Xenopus tropicalis: one gene and its partner. The protein of the gene in region 2 purifies or fractionates together with the protein of the main gene of each other region. This does not show direct contact. Links are inferred from orthologs where the notes say so. Each region holds a gene or a part of one and is shown on either strand. Other genes may lie near its edges.

Region 1 (6,796 bases), on a different chromosome or scaffold from region 2:
GTATAAGTATAATATTTATATACAATATATCTTTTACAGTATATAGATGCAGTATGTCCTGCAGGACGCTGGTGAAACTATAACTCCCAGAGTTTTTGCTTATCTGTCTCAGCTGGTCTCCTCCTAACCATTTTTCATCTTGTCATTCGCACACACAGGTTTGGTTGCTAAGGGCAAACCCAACAGAGATGTAAAGAACAGAAGCACTGATGGAGGATTAATGGCCCCTTCGTGACTCGTGTCAGAACAGGACCAGATGGACTTGGATACGGCAGTGAGGCTACCGGAACATGTACCTACTGTATCCAGCACCACTCACTAAGCACAAACAAAGCAGGTTATTGATGACAGCTTCCCCTTAGTGAGACTCAGCAGCCATTGATTTAGAAACAATACTTATCTCTATTGACTTATAAGTACAAGTAAGAGATGGCAGCAGGGCACGTGGGTATCTGCTAATAACTGATCTGCATGTAAGGCGGGGCTTCTGCGCACATGGAGATACAAACCAGCACTAACCTAAAAATAACAGGCAACACCGGGGAAATCTCCGTAACATGAACTTGGATATTACTATGGCTTCATTATGTGTCCAGCAACCCCAGGTTCTACAGTAACAAGAAAAACTGAAACAGACTCTGCACTGCTGGTTCTGGCTCTTTAAAGAACATCACAGAAGCCAGCTAGTGAGCAGACTGGGAGGAGAATTGTCTTCTGCTACATGGTGTCAAGAGTCAGAACCAGAGAAGAGACAGACACAGTGACAGTTACACATAACTATAAACCCAGTGAGAATGAGGGATGAATGGATATTGGGGAGTTGTATCAGGAGTCAGAACCAGCAGTGCAGGGAAGGGAAAGGGACAGACACAGTGACAGTTACACATAACTATAAACCCAGTGAGAATGAGGGATGAATGGATATTGGGGAGTTGTATCAGGAGTCAGAACCAGCAGTGCAGGGAAGGGAAAGGGACAGACACAGTGACAGTTACACATAACTATAAACCCAGTGAGAATGAGGGATGAATGGATATTGGGAAGTTGTATCAGGAGTCAGAACCAGCAGTGCAGGGAAGGGAAAGGGACAGACACAGTGACAGTTACACATAACTATAAACCCAGTGAGAATGAGGAATGAATGGATATTGGGGAGTTGTATCAGGAGTCAGAACCAGCAGTGCAGGGAAGGGAAAGGGACAGACACAGTGACAGTTACACATAACTATAAACCCAGTGAGAATGAGGAATGAATGGATATTGGGGAGTTGTATCAGGAGTCAGAACCAGCAGTGCAGGGAAGGGAAAGGGACAGACACAGTGACAGTTACACATAACTATAAACCCAGTGAGAATGAGGGATGAATGGATATTGGGAAGTTGTATCAGGAGTCAGAACCAGCAGTGCAGGGAAGGGAAAGGGACAGACACAGTGACAGTTACACATAACTATAAACCCAGTGAGAATGAGGAATGAATGGATATTGGGGAGTTGTATCAGGAGTCAGAACCAGCAGTGCAGGGAAGGGAAAGGGACAGACACAGTGACAGTTACACATAACTATAAACCCAGTGAGAATGAGGAATGAATGGATATTGGGGAGTTGTATCAGGAGTCAGAACCAGCAGTGCAGGGAAGGGAAAGGGACAGTGACAGTTACACATAACTATTAACCCAGTGAGAATGAGGAATGAATGGATATTGGGGAGTTGTATCAGGAGTCAGAACCAGCAGTGCAGGGAAGGGAAAGGGACAGACACAGTGACAGTTACACATAACTATAAACCCAGTGAGAATGAGGAATGAATGGGTATTGGGGAGTTGTATCAGGAGTCAGAACCAGCAGTGCAGGGAAGGGAAAGGGACAGACACAGTGACAGTTACACATAACTATAAATCCTGTATCAGGAGTCAGAACCAGCAGTGCAGAGAAAAAAAAATAACCATTACAGACACTAGGCAAAACAGTTAATGGTTGTCTTTCCCCTTTAAGCTGGCCTCTGTCCAATAGGGTTGAACATATCAATTTTTTTACCCTAACTCTTAGTCTTACCTGGCACTGCAATGTCCTATGGGTATCTGGGAACTTCCAATTATTCAGTCCTTGGGCCAATCATTAGATCATACTGGGGGGCCTATTTACTGCCCCAAATCTCATTATACCAGGTGCCCATAGAAGCCCATGAAGAGAGGGGTACATCAGGGGGTCTGTGGTCTCCCACCATCCATCTCTTAACACACTGTCTCACATGGTCTCTGCATTCTGTTATTTACAGCACTGCAGCACGGTGAGACCATCAGTGACTCCATAGGAACAGCTCCATACAAACAAATGACACAAGCGACACATTGTGGGTTAGTCCTGCAATTATGGACAAAGTCATGGGGTGGAATTGCTCATTAGTATAACTGCCCCTTTGTCTTCTGCCTCAGCAACCAACATTTGTGTGACAAACACAGCTGGGGCCAAACAAACAAATTCCCAAATCCAAAGCTGCCATGTTGCTTACTCTCTCTTTTTATTTATTATTTCTTATTATAATTACTACTAACTCACATCTATAAGCATCAAAATACGTATTATAGACTAGTTTATATAGTAAAACCCATAAGATTAGCAGAACAATTGTACCATCAGGTTGTGGATCATGCAGTATCAAGTCAACTTTATCAGCTTAGTCGCTCTTCCCTGTACTTTCTCTATTTCATTACTGCCCCCCCTTATATATTTATATATAGTGACCTCCCCCCCTTAACTGCCCCTTCCCCAGTGTAACCAATCCCAACTGGGCCAGCCTTTCCCCATAACTGAGCCCATTCCCTTTATCAGCTTAGTCGCTCTTCCCTGTACTTTCTCTATTTCATTACTGCCCCCCCTTATATATTTATATATAGTGACCCCCCCCCCTTAACTGCCCCTTCCCCAGTGTAACCAATCCCAACTGGGCCAGCCTTTCCCCATAACTGAGCCCATTCCCTTTATCAGCTTAGTCACTCTTCCCTGTACTTTCTCTATTTCATTACTGCCCCCCCCTTATATATTTATATATAGTGACCCCCCCCCCTTAACTGCCCCTTCCCCAGTGTAACCAATCCCAACTGGGCCAGCCTTTCCCCATAACTGAGCCCATTCCCTTTATCAGCTTAGTCACTCTTCCCTGTACTTTCTCTATTTCATTACTGCCCCCCCCTTATATATTTATATATAGTGACCCCCCCCCCTTAACTGCCCCTTCCCCAGTGTAACCAATCCCAACTGGGCCAGCCTTTCCCCATAACTGAGCCCATTCCCTTTATCAGCTTAGTCGCTCTTCCCTGTACTTTCTCTATTTCATTACTGCCCCCCCTTATATATTTATATATAGTGACCCCCCCCCCTAACTGCCCCTTCCCCAGTGTAACCAATCCCAACTGGGCCAGCCTTTCCCCATAACTGAGCCCATTCCCTTTATCAGCTTAGTCGCTCTTCCCTGTACTTTCTCTATTTCATTACTGCCCCCCCCTTATATATTTATATATAGTGACCCCCCCTTAACTGCCCCTTCCCCAGTGTAACCAATCCCAGCTGGGCCAGCCTTTCCCCATAACTGAGCCCATTCCCTTTATCAGCTTAGTCGCTCTTCCCTGTACTCTCTATATCATTAACATCCCATTGGAACTCTGGAGCCCAGATCACACAACATTCAATATGGGCCATTACCAGTGCTGTAACTAGAAGCATTCAGCATATAGAGATTATTTTACCTGCCTCTAGCACCATAAAGAGTTACAGTTCGGTCAGATCCCATTGCCGTATCCCAGCATTCCCCAGTGAATCACCCTGTAGGTAGCAGAGAAGCAGCTCACCTGTCAGCACCAGCAGTAGCCGGAGGGCACACAACCATGGACACTGTCACCATCGAGGAGAAGCGGCAGGTTCAGTGACATTCCTCTTCATGCAGCCGCTGCCATTAGGCTAGTAGCCCCGGTAACAGCCCTTATTGTTATAAGGCCTGGGAGACGGTCCGACTTCGGAGGCTAAAGGGAAACCTGTGGGGAAGGCAGATGGGTCAGGAATTGGCTAGAGGGTTCAGCTGGGAAGTTTGTTATCTTTTAGCATGATATAAACATTATTTTGAGACAATTGCCTATATTTCAATATATACATATTATAGTATATTTACTATATAAATTGTGAAATATATAAATAATATCTTTTCATTCCAGACCTTTTCTTATTCATCTACCAGTCTGTCATTCACACAACTGCCTGGTTGCTAGGGCTAGTATGCCTAACAGATAATCAGCAGGTATGATTGGCCGATCACATGTTTAAAAGCAAAAGTCTGGTTGGTTGCTCAGGGTTAGTAGATCTGGTTTAACATTTGGGAATATAATTACATGACCCCCTGCACAACAAATAGTTCTAATTAATGCCCCAAAACCTTAATTTCCCCTGTGCCCTACAGAAAGGGATTATGCTGCTCTGCATGCAGGAAAGGTGTAGTTAGACTAAACTTCCCAGCATCCTCTCAAGATCAATCTAAGCGCTACAGTTAGTGTTAGAGAAGCACGAGCCACCAGCTGCTGAACTACAGCTCCCAGCGCTCTGCAGTGTATTATACGAAACATGGTTTTGGGCCAGAAGTAAAAGTTGTAACTTAAGAATCTTATACCTCCAACCTGTGCCCCAACTACAACTCCCATCATCCCTTGTTTAAACTCTGCAACTTGGAAAGAGATTCATGACCAGAGGCACCGCTAAAAAGAAGATACATTATACTGTACCCCCACTCTACTGTACCCCCACTCTACTGTACCCCCACTCTACTGTACCCCCACTCTACTGTACCCCCACTCTACTGTACCCCCACTCTACAGACAGAGGGGTCAGAAAAGAGATTAAGTGCAATCCCAACCCGATTCCCTTTCCCAGGAAAAGCCCATTGCACTAAGCCTATTTGTGGGGATTACCCCACAAACACCTTTAAATACTCAGGGAAATCAGATTTTAGGGGCAGAGGGGAACAGTAATGACAGGCAGCTCTAAAGATAGAATCCGGCCACTGGATACTGGGGAGCAGAATCCTGGGAAAGGGGGTGAGTTAGTGGCAAAGCAATGCAGGGAAATACAGGGTTAAACAGGGAATGGCATTAACACTGTTAGAGATACAGTATTGCCTTATGCTGCCCGTGGTGCTGCCATGTTGCACAGGCTAGTGTAAAGCTGTAATGCCAGGCCGGACTCCATCCCTGCCTCAGGTTTAACTCTCCCATTTCCATTTCATTCTGTGTCTCCCTGAGAGGCCTATACTGTGCCACAGAGCTAGCAATCATACAGACTGCAGCTCTACACTACAACTCCCAGCATCCCCAAACAGTCTTTAAAACCACTTGGAGTCCATTTGTTTAATGGCACAGAAATAAAGTTCTGTAACACCACTTTGTCTTACTATATTCACAGTTACTGTCTGTCTGCCCTTACTATACACATTATACATAGTTACTGCCCCTTCCCAGACATTCTCTGCCCTTACTATACACATTATACATAGTTACTGCCCCTTCCCAGACATTCTCTGCCCCTACTATACACATTATACATAGTTACTGCCCCTTCCCGGACATTCTCTGCCCCTACTATACACATTATACATAGTTACTGCCCCTTCCCGGACATTCTCTGCCCCTACTATACACATTATACATAGTTACTGCCCCTTCCCAGACATCCTCTGCCCTTACTATACACATTATACATAGTTACTGCCCCTTCCCAGACATCCTCTGCCCTTACTATACACATTATACATAGTTACTGCCCCTTCCCAGACATCCTCTGCCCTTACTATACACATTATACATAGTTACTGCCCCTTCCCAGACATTCTCTGCCCTTACTATACACATTATACATAGTTACTGCCCCTTCCCTGACATTCTCTGCCCTTACTATACACATTATACATAGTTACTGCCCCTTCCCAGACATTCCCTGCCCTTACTATACACATTATACATAGTTACTGCCCCTTCCCTGACATTCTCTGCCCTTACTATACACATTATACATAGTTACTGCCCCTTCCCTGACATTCTCTGCCCCTACCATATACATTATACATAGTTACTGCCCCTTCCCAGACATTCCCTGCCCTTACTATACACATTATACATAGTTACTGCCCCTTCCCAGACATTCTCTGCCCTTACTATACACATTATACATAGTTACTGCCCCTTCCCGGACATTCCCTGCCCTTACTATACACATTATACATAGTTACTGCCCCTTCCCTGACATTCTCTGCCCTTACTATACACATTATACATAGTTACTGCCCCTTCCCTGACATTCTCTGCCCCTACCATATACATTATACATAGTTACTGCCCCTTCCCAGACATTCCCTGCCCTTACTATACACATTATACATAGTTACTGCCCCTTCCCAGACATTCCCTGCCCTTACTATACACATTATACATAGTTACTGCCCCTTCCCAGACATTCTCTGCCCTTACTATACACATTATACATAGTTACTGCCCCTTCCCAGACATTCCCTGCCCTTACTATACACATTATACATAGTTACTGCCCCTTCCCAGACATTCTCTGCCCTTACTATACACATTATACATAGTTACTGCCCCTTCCCAGACATTCTCTGCCCTTACTATACACATTATACATAGTTACTGCCCCTTCCCAGACATTCTCTGCCCTTACTATACACATTATACATAGTTACTGCCCCTTCCCAGACATTCCCTGCCCTTACTATACACATTATACATAGTTACTGCCCCTTC
Region 2 (6,284 bases):
AGGTTATGGTCGTCGAAGGCTCCCCCGGCACACAGCTCCTGGTAGAGTTCTGGGTCCAGCGGCAAGTCATCGTCGGACAGCGACCCGGCCAGGCTGCTGGGCTCTGGGGTGTCCCGGAACAAGGACAGGTCGTCGTCCTTCACCCGCAGCATTTTCTGGAGAAGGAGAATGGAATATCCAGGCACCACTGGGGCGGAAAGGAGAGGCCATTCTGCCCCGGGAGAGACAGGGGCACGTCTACTTACCCTCGCCCTGACTTGGCACTGGCGCAGCCGACACTTCTGCCGAATCTTATTGGGCCCCCCAAACTTCTTCATGTCTCTGCAGAAGTCACATTGGCCGCAGTCCTCTGTACGGCTACACGCCTCACACTCGCCACACATGCGCGCCGAGCGCTTAATCTGCTGCTGTAACGGGAACGGCGAGTCAGTATGGCCACGGGCACCCCCACATGTCTTACTGACTCCGTACCCCCATATCATGGAACCTCCAGCCCTACAATGTGAGTTCTACTGAGTGTCTGGGTGCAAACTGGACTGGAATAGAGATTCCCCTGTACTAAGCACGATTCAGCAGGAACAGCCCCCTAAGTTTGCTCATAGCCTGTACAGAGAGATACCATAAAACTATGGCACATAGGGATTCCCCTGTACTAAGCACAATTCAGCAGGAACAGCCCCCTAAGTTTGCCCATAGCCTGTACAGAGAGATACCATAAAACTATGGCACATAGGGATTCCCCTGTACTAAGCACAATTCAGCAGGAACAGCCCCCTAAGTTTGCCCATAGCCTGTACAGAGAGATACCATAACACTATGGCACATAGGGATTCCCCTGTACTAAGCACAATTCAGCAGGAACAGCCCCCTAAGTTTGCTCATAGCCTGTACAGAGAGATACCATAAAACTATGGCACATAGGGATTCCCCTGTACTAAGCACAATTCAGCAGGAACAGCCCCCTAAGTTTGCTCATAGCCTGTACAGAGAAATACCATAAAACTATGGCACATAGGGATTCCCCTGTACTAAGCACAATTCAGCAGGAACAGCCCCCTAAGTTTGCCCATAGCCTGTACAGAGAGATGCCATAACACTATGGCACATAGGGATTCCCCTGTACTAAGCACAATTCAGCAGGAACAGCCCCCTAAGTTTGCTCATAGCCTGTACAGAGAGATACCATAAAACTATGGCACATAGGGATTCCCCTGTACTAAGCACAATTCAGCAGGAACAGCCCCCTAAGTTTGCTCATAGCCTGTACGTACAGCAGCACAGGTATATAGGTAAATACACATTAGGTACCTACCCGGGGTACCTTGTTGCTGCTGCTGCTGGTGCTGCCGCTTTTCTTTTTTTCATTTTTTGCAGTCTCTTCATTTTCATCCTTTTCCGTTTCTCTCTCGCGCTCCTTCGACTTCTTGTGTCTGTATTTGATCTCAAGGTGCGGGTGTTTGTCTGGCACGTGGGCAAAAGGCACACCTTTATATATTTCTACTGCCTCTAACCCCCACCGGAACTGCCCCCCACATCCCCCGCCCCTACCGGCCTCTAACCCCCACCGGAACTGCCCCCCACATCCCCCGCCCCTACCGGCCTCTAACCCCCACCGGAACTGCCCCCCACATCCCCCGCCCCTACCGGCCTCTAACCCCACCGGGAAACTGCCCCACACATCCCCCGCCCCTACCGGCCTCTAACCCCACCGGAACTGCCCCCCACATCCCCCCGCCCCTACCGGCCTCTAACCCCCACCGGAACTGCCCCCCACATCCCCCGCCCCTACCGGCCTCTAACCCCCACCGGAACTGCCCCCCACATCCCCCGCCCCTACCGGCCTCTAACCCCCACCGGAACTGCCCCCCACATCCCCCGCCCCTACCGGCCTCTAACCCCACCGGAACTGCCCCCCACATCCCCCGCCCCTACCGGCCTCTAACCCCCACCGGAACTGCCCCCCACATCCCCCGCCCCTACCGGCCTCTAACCCCCACCGGAACTGCCCCCACATCCCCCGCCCCTACCGGCCTCTAACCCCACCGGAACTGCCCCCCACATCCCCCGCCCCTACCGGCCTCTAACCCCCACCGGAACTGCCCCCACATCCCCCGCCCCTACCGGCCTCTAACCCCACCGGAAATTGCCCCCCACATCCCCCGCCCCTACCGGCCTCTAACCCCACCGGAACTGCCCCCCACATCCCCCGCCCTACCGGCCCTCTTAACCCCCCACCGGAACTGCCCCCCACATCCCCCGCCCCTACCGGCCTCTAACCCCCACCGGAACTGCCCCCCACATCCCCCGCACCTTACCGGCCTCTAACCCCCCACCGGAACTGCCCCCCACATCCCCCGCCCCTACCGGCCCTCTAATCCCCACCGGAACTGCCCCCACATCCCCCGCCCCTACCGGCCTCTAACCCCCACCGGAACTGCCCCCACATCCCCCGCCCCCTACCGAGCCCTCTAACCCCCACCGGAACTGCCCCCCACATCCCCCGCCCCTACCGGCCTCTAACCCCCACCGGAACTGCCCCACATCCCCGCCCCTACCGGCCTCTAACCCCCACCGGAACTGCCCCCACATCCCCCGCCCCTACGGCCTCTAACCCCCACCCGGAACTGCCTCCCACACCCCCGCCCCTACCGGCCTCTAACCCCCCACCGGAACTGCCCCCACACATCCCCCGCCCCTACCGGCCTCTAACCCCCACCGGAACTGCCCCCCACATCCCCCGCCCTACCGGCCTCTAACCCCCACCGGAACTGCCTCCCACACCCCCCGCCCCTGCCATAATGCCCCTTGGTGCTTACCTCGGCATTGCACGCAGTACCACTCTCGTATGGCCTTTGCCATCTTCTCGGTGATGTTGATGCAGTGCCCGTGGAACCATTCGTTACAGTTGTCACAGCCGCTGCCGAGAGACAAACCAGGATAGAGATCAGGCTGCAGTGGGCACGGTGTCAGCTTAGGGGCATTATATGGGCTGTTAGTGGCATTAACGCCCCCCCTGGCTAGATGAGGGGTGCATGTTGCTATGGAATGACCCCCCCCCCAATCACACACGTGTATTTCTCACATCATGAAGCAGTTGATATCCGGCTTTCGGCAGATACAATACACCGGGGCGTTCTCTCCATCCTCCGTGTCCCCGGCCGCAGTCAGGTCCGCGTCTGAAAATTCACTCTCCTGGGGCAACAAAGAACCCCCCCATCAGTAACTGCCACAGTGGCTGTGCCCTATCCCCACTACTATTTGTACTAAGGGGATCAGGAAGGGAAATGTGCCTGTTGCAACATGGGGAGGGGGGGGTCCTATTCCTCATAGATTGTGAGCTTCTGAGTATCATTCCTTCCCATGGGCAGAGTGTCTTTACCCTTTCCATCTCTTGCTTCTACCCTAAAAGGTGCCAGGCTGGCATAGTATAACCCCCTGTTCCCGTGGGGCCCATTAGTACAATGCTGGGGGGGCAGTGCCAGTGTGACACAGTATAACCCCCTGTACCCGTGGGGCCCATTAGTACAATGCTGGGGGGCAGTGCCAGTGTGACACAGTATAACCCCTGTACCGTGGGGCCCATTAGTACACATGCTGGGGGGCAGTGCCAGTGTGACCAGTATAACCCCTGTACCCGTGGGGCCCATTAGTACAATGCTGGGGGGGCAGTGCCAGTGTGACACAGTATAACCCCCTGTACCCGTGGGGCCCATTAGTACAATGCTGGGGGCAGTGCCAGTGTGACACAGTATAACCCCCTGTACCCGTGGGGCCCATTAGTACAATGCTGGGGGGGCAGTGCCAGTGTGACACAGTATAACCCCCTGTACCCGTGGGGCCCATTAGTACAATGCTGGGGGGGCAGTGCCAGTGTGACACAGTATAACCCCCTGTACCCGTGGGGCCCATTAGTACAATGCTGGGGGGCAGTGCCAGTGTGACACAGTATAACCCCCTGTACCCGTGGGGCCCATTAGTACAATGCTGGGGGGGCAGTGCCAGTGTGACACAGTATAACCCCCTGTACCCGTGGGGCCCATTAGTACAATGCTGGGGGGCAGTGCCAGTGTGACACAGTATAACCCCCTGTACCCGTGGGGCCCATTAGTACAATGCTGGGGGGCAGTGCCAGTGTGACACAGTATAACCCCCTGTACCGTGGGGCCCATTAGTACAATGCTGGGGGGCAGTGCCAGTGTGACACAGTATAACCCCTGTACCTGTGGGGCCCATTAGTACAATGCTGGGGGGCAGTGCCAGTGTGACACAGTATAACCCCTGTACCTGTGGGGCCCATTAGTACAATGCTGGGGGGGCAGTGCCAGTGTGACACAGTATAACCCCCTGTACCCGTGGGGCCCATTAGTACAATGCTGGGGGGGCAGTGCCAGTGTGACACAGTATAACCCCCTGTACCCTGTGGGGCCCATTAGTACAATGCTGGGGGCAGTGCCAGTGTGACACAGTATAACCCCTGTACCTGTGGGGCCCATTAGTACAATGCTGGGGGGCAGTGCCAGTGTGACACAGTATAACCCCTGTACCCGTGGGGCCCATTAGTACAATGCTGGGGGGGCAGTGCCAGTGTGACACAGTATAACCCCCTGTACCCGTGGGGCCCATTAGTACAATGCTGGGGGGCAGTGCCAGTGTGACACAGTATAACCCCCTGTACCCGTGGGGCCCATTAGTACAATGCTGGGGGGGGCAGTGCCAGTGTGACACAGTATAACCCCCTGTACCCGTGGGGCCCATTAGTACAATGCTGGGGGGCAGTGCCAGTGTGACACAGTATAACCCCCTGTACCGTGGGGCCCATTAGTACAATGCTGGGGGGCAGTGCCAGTGTGACACAGTATAACCCCCTGTTCCCGTGGGGCCCATTAGTACAATGCTGGGGGGGCAGTGCCAGTGTGACACAGTATAACCCCCTGTACCCGTGGGGCCCATTAGTACAATGCTGGGGGGGCAGTGCCAGTGTGACACAGTATAACCCCCTGTTCCCGTGGGGCCCATTAGTACAATGCTGGGGGGGCAGTGCCAGTGTGACACAGTATAACCCCCTGTACCTGTGGGGCCCATTAGTACAATGCTGGGGGGCAGTGCCAGTGTGACACAGTATAACCCCCTGTACCTGTGGGGCCCATTAGTACAATGCTGGGGGGGCAGTGCCAGTGTGACACAGTATAACCCCCTGTACCCGTTGGGCCCATTAGTACAATGCTGGGGGGGCAGTGCCAGTGTGACACAGTATAACCCCTGTACCTGTGGGGCCCATTAGTACAATGCTGGGGGGGCAGTGCCAGTGTGACACAGTATAACCCCTGTACCCGTGGGGCCCATTAGTACAATGCTGGGGGGGCAGTGCCAGTGTGACACAGTATAACCCCCTGTACCTGTGGGGCCCATTAGTACAATGCTGGGGGGCAGTGCCAGTGTGACACAGTATAACCCCCTGTACCTGTGGGGCCCATTAGTACAATGCTGGGGGGCAGTGCCAGTGTGACACAGTATAACCCCTGTACCCGTGGGGCCCATTAGTACAATGCTGGGGGGGCAGTGCCAGTGTGACACAGTATAACCCCCTGTACCCGTGGGGCCCATTAGTACAATGCTGGGGGGCAGTGCCAGTGTGACACAGTATAACCCCCTGTACCCGTGGGGCCCATTAGTACAATGCTGGGGGGGGCAGTGCCAGTGTGACACAGTATAACCCCCTGTACCCGTGGGGCCCATTAGTACAATGCTGGGGGGCAGTGCCAGTGTGACACAGTATAACCCCCTGTACCCGTGGGGCCCATTAGTACAATGCTGGGGGGCAGTGCCAGTGTGACACAGTATAACCCCCTGTTCCCGTGGGGCCCATTAGTACAATGCTGGGGGGGCAGTGCCAGTGTGACACAGTATAACCCCTGTACCCGTGGGGCCCATTAGTACAATGCTGGGGGGGCAGTGCCAGTGTGACACAGTATAACCCCCTGTTCCCGTGGGGCCCATTAGTACAATGCTGGGGGGGCAGTGCCAGTGTGACACAGTATAACCCCCTGTACCCGTGGGGCCATTAGTACAATGCTGGGGGGGCAGTGCCAGTGTGACACAGTATAACCCCTCTACCCGTGGGGCCCATTAGTACAATGCTGGGGGGGCAGTGCCAGTGTGACACAGTATAACCCCCTGTACCCGTGGGGCCCATTAGTACAATGCTGGGGGGCAGTGCCAGTGTGACACAGTATAACCCCCTGTACCCGTGGGGCCCATTAGTACAATGCTGGGGGGCAGTGCCA

Evidence for each region. Proteins that work in one complex are often made in the same cells at the same time.
Region 1: the proteins of cxxc1 (region 2) and bod1 purify together in Homo sapiens (affinity purification with mass spectrometry; 4 studies listed by BioGRID and IntAct, counting the BioPlex papers as one, with this or other methods). This does not show direct contact. The link is inferred for Xenopus tropicalis from reciprocal best matches to the Homo sapiens genes CXXC1 and BOD1.

Annotation. Positions count from the first base shown.
Region 1 is NC_030680.2:152,361,225-152,368,020, reverse strand, and holds the start of bod1 (biorientation of chromosomes in cell division protein 1), read right to left. Parts: upstream 3,803-6,796; 5' UTR 3,746-3,802; intron 2,146-3,745; exon of another isoform or gene 2,055-2,145; intron 1-2,054. UniProt on the Homo sapiens protein: Required for proper chromosome biorientation through the detection or correction of syntelic attachments in mitotic spindles.
Region 2 is NC_030684.2:1,157,975-1,164,258, reverse strand, and holds part of cxxc1 (CXXC-type zinc finger protein 1), read right to left. Parts: intron 3,193-6,284; coding exon 3,083-3,192; intron 2,918-3,082; coding exon 2,817-2,917; intron 1,462-2,816; coding exon 1,313-1,461; intron 408-1,312; coding exon 1-407. UniProt on the Homo sapiens protein: Transcriptional activator that exhibits a unique DNA binding specificity for CpG unmethylated motifs with a preference for CpGG.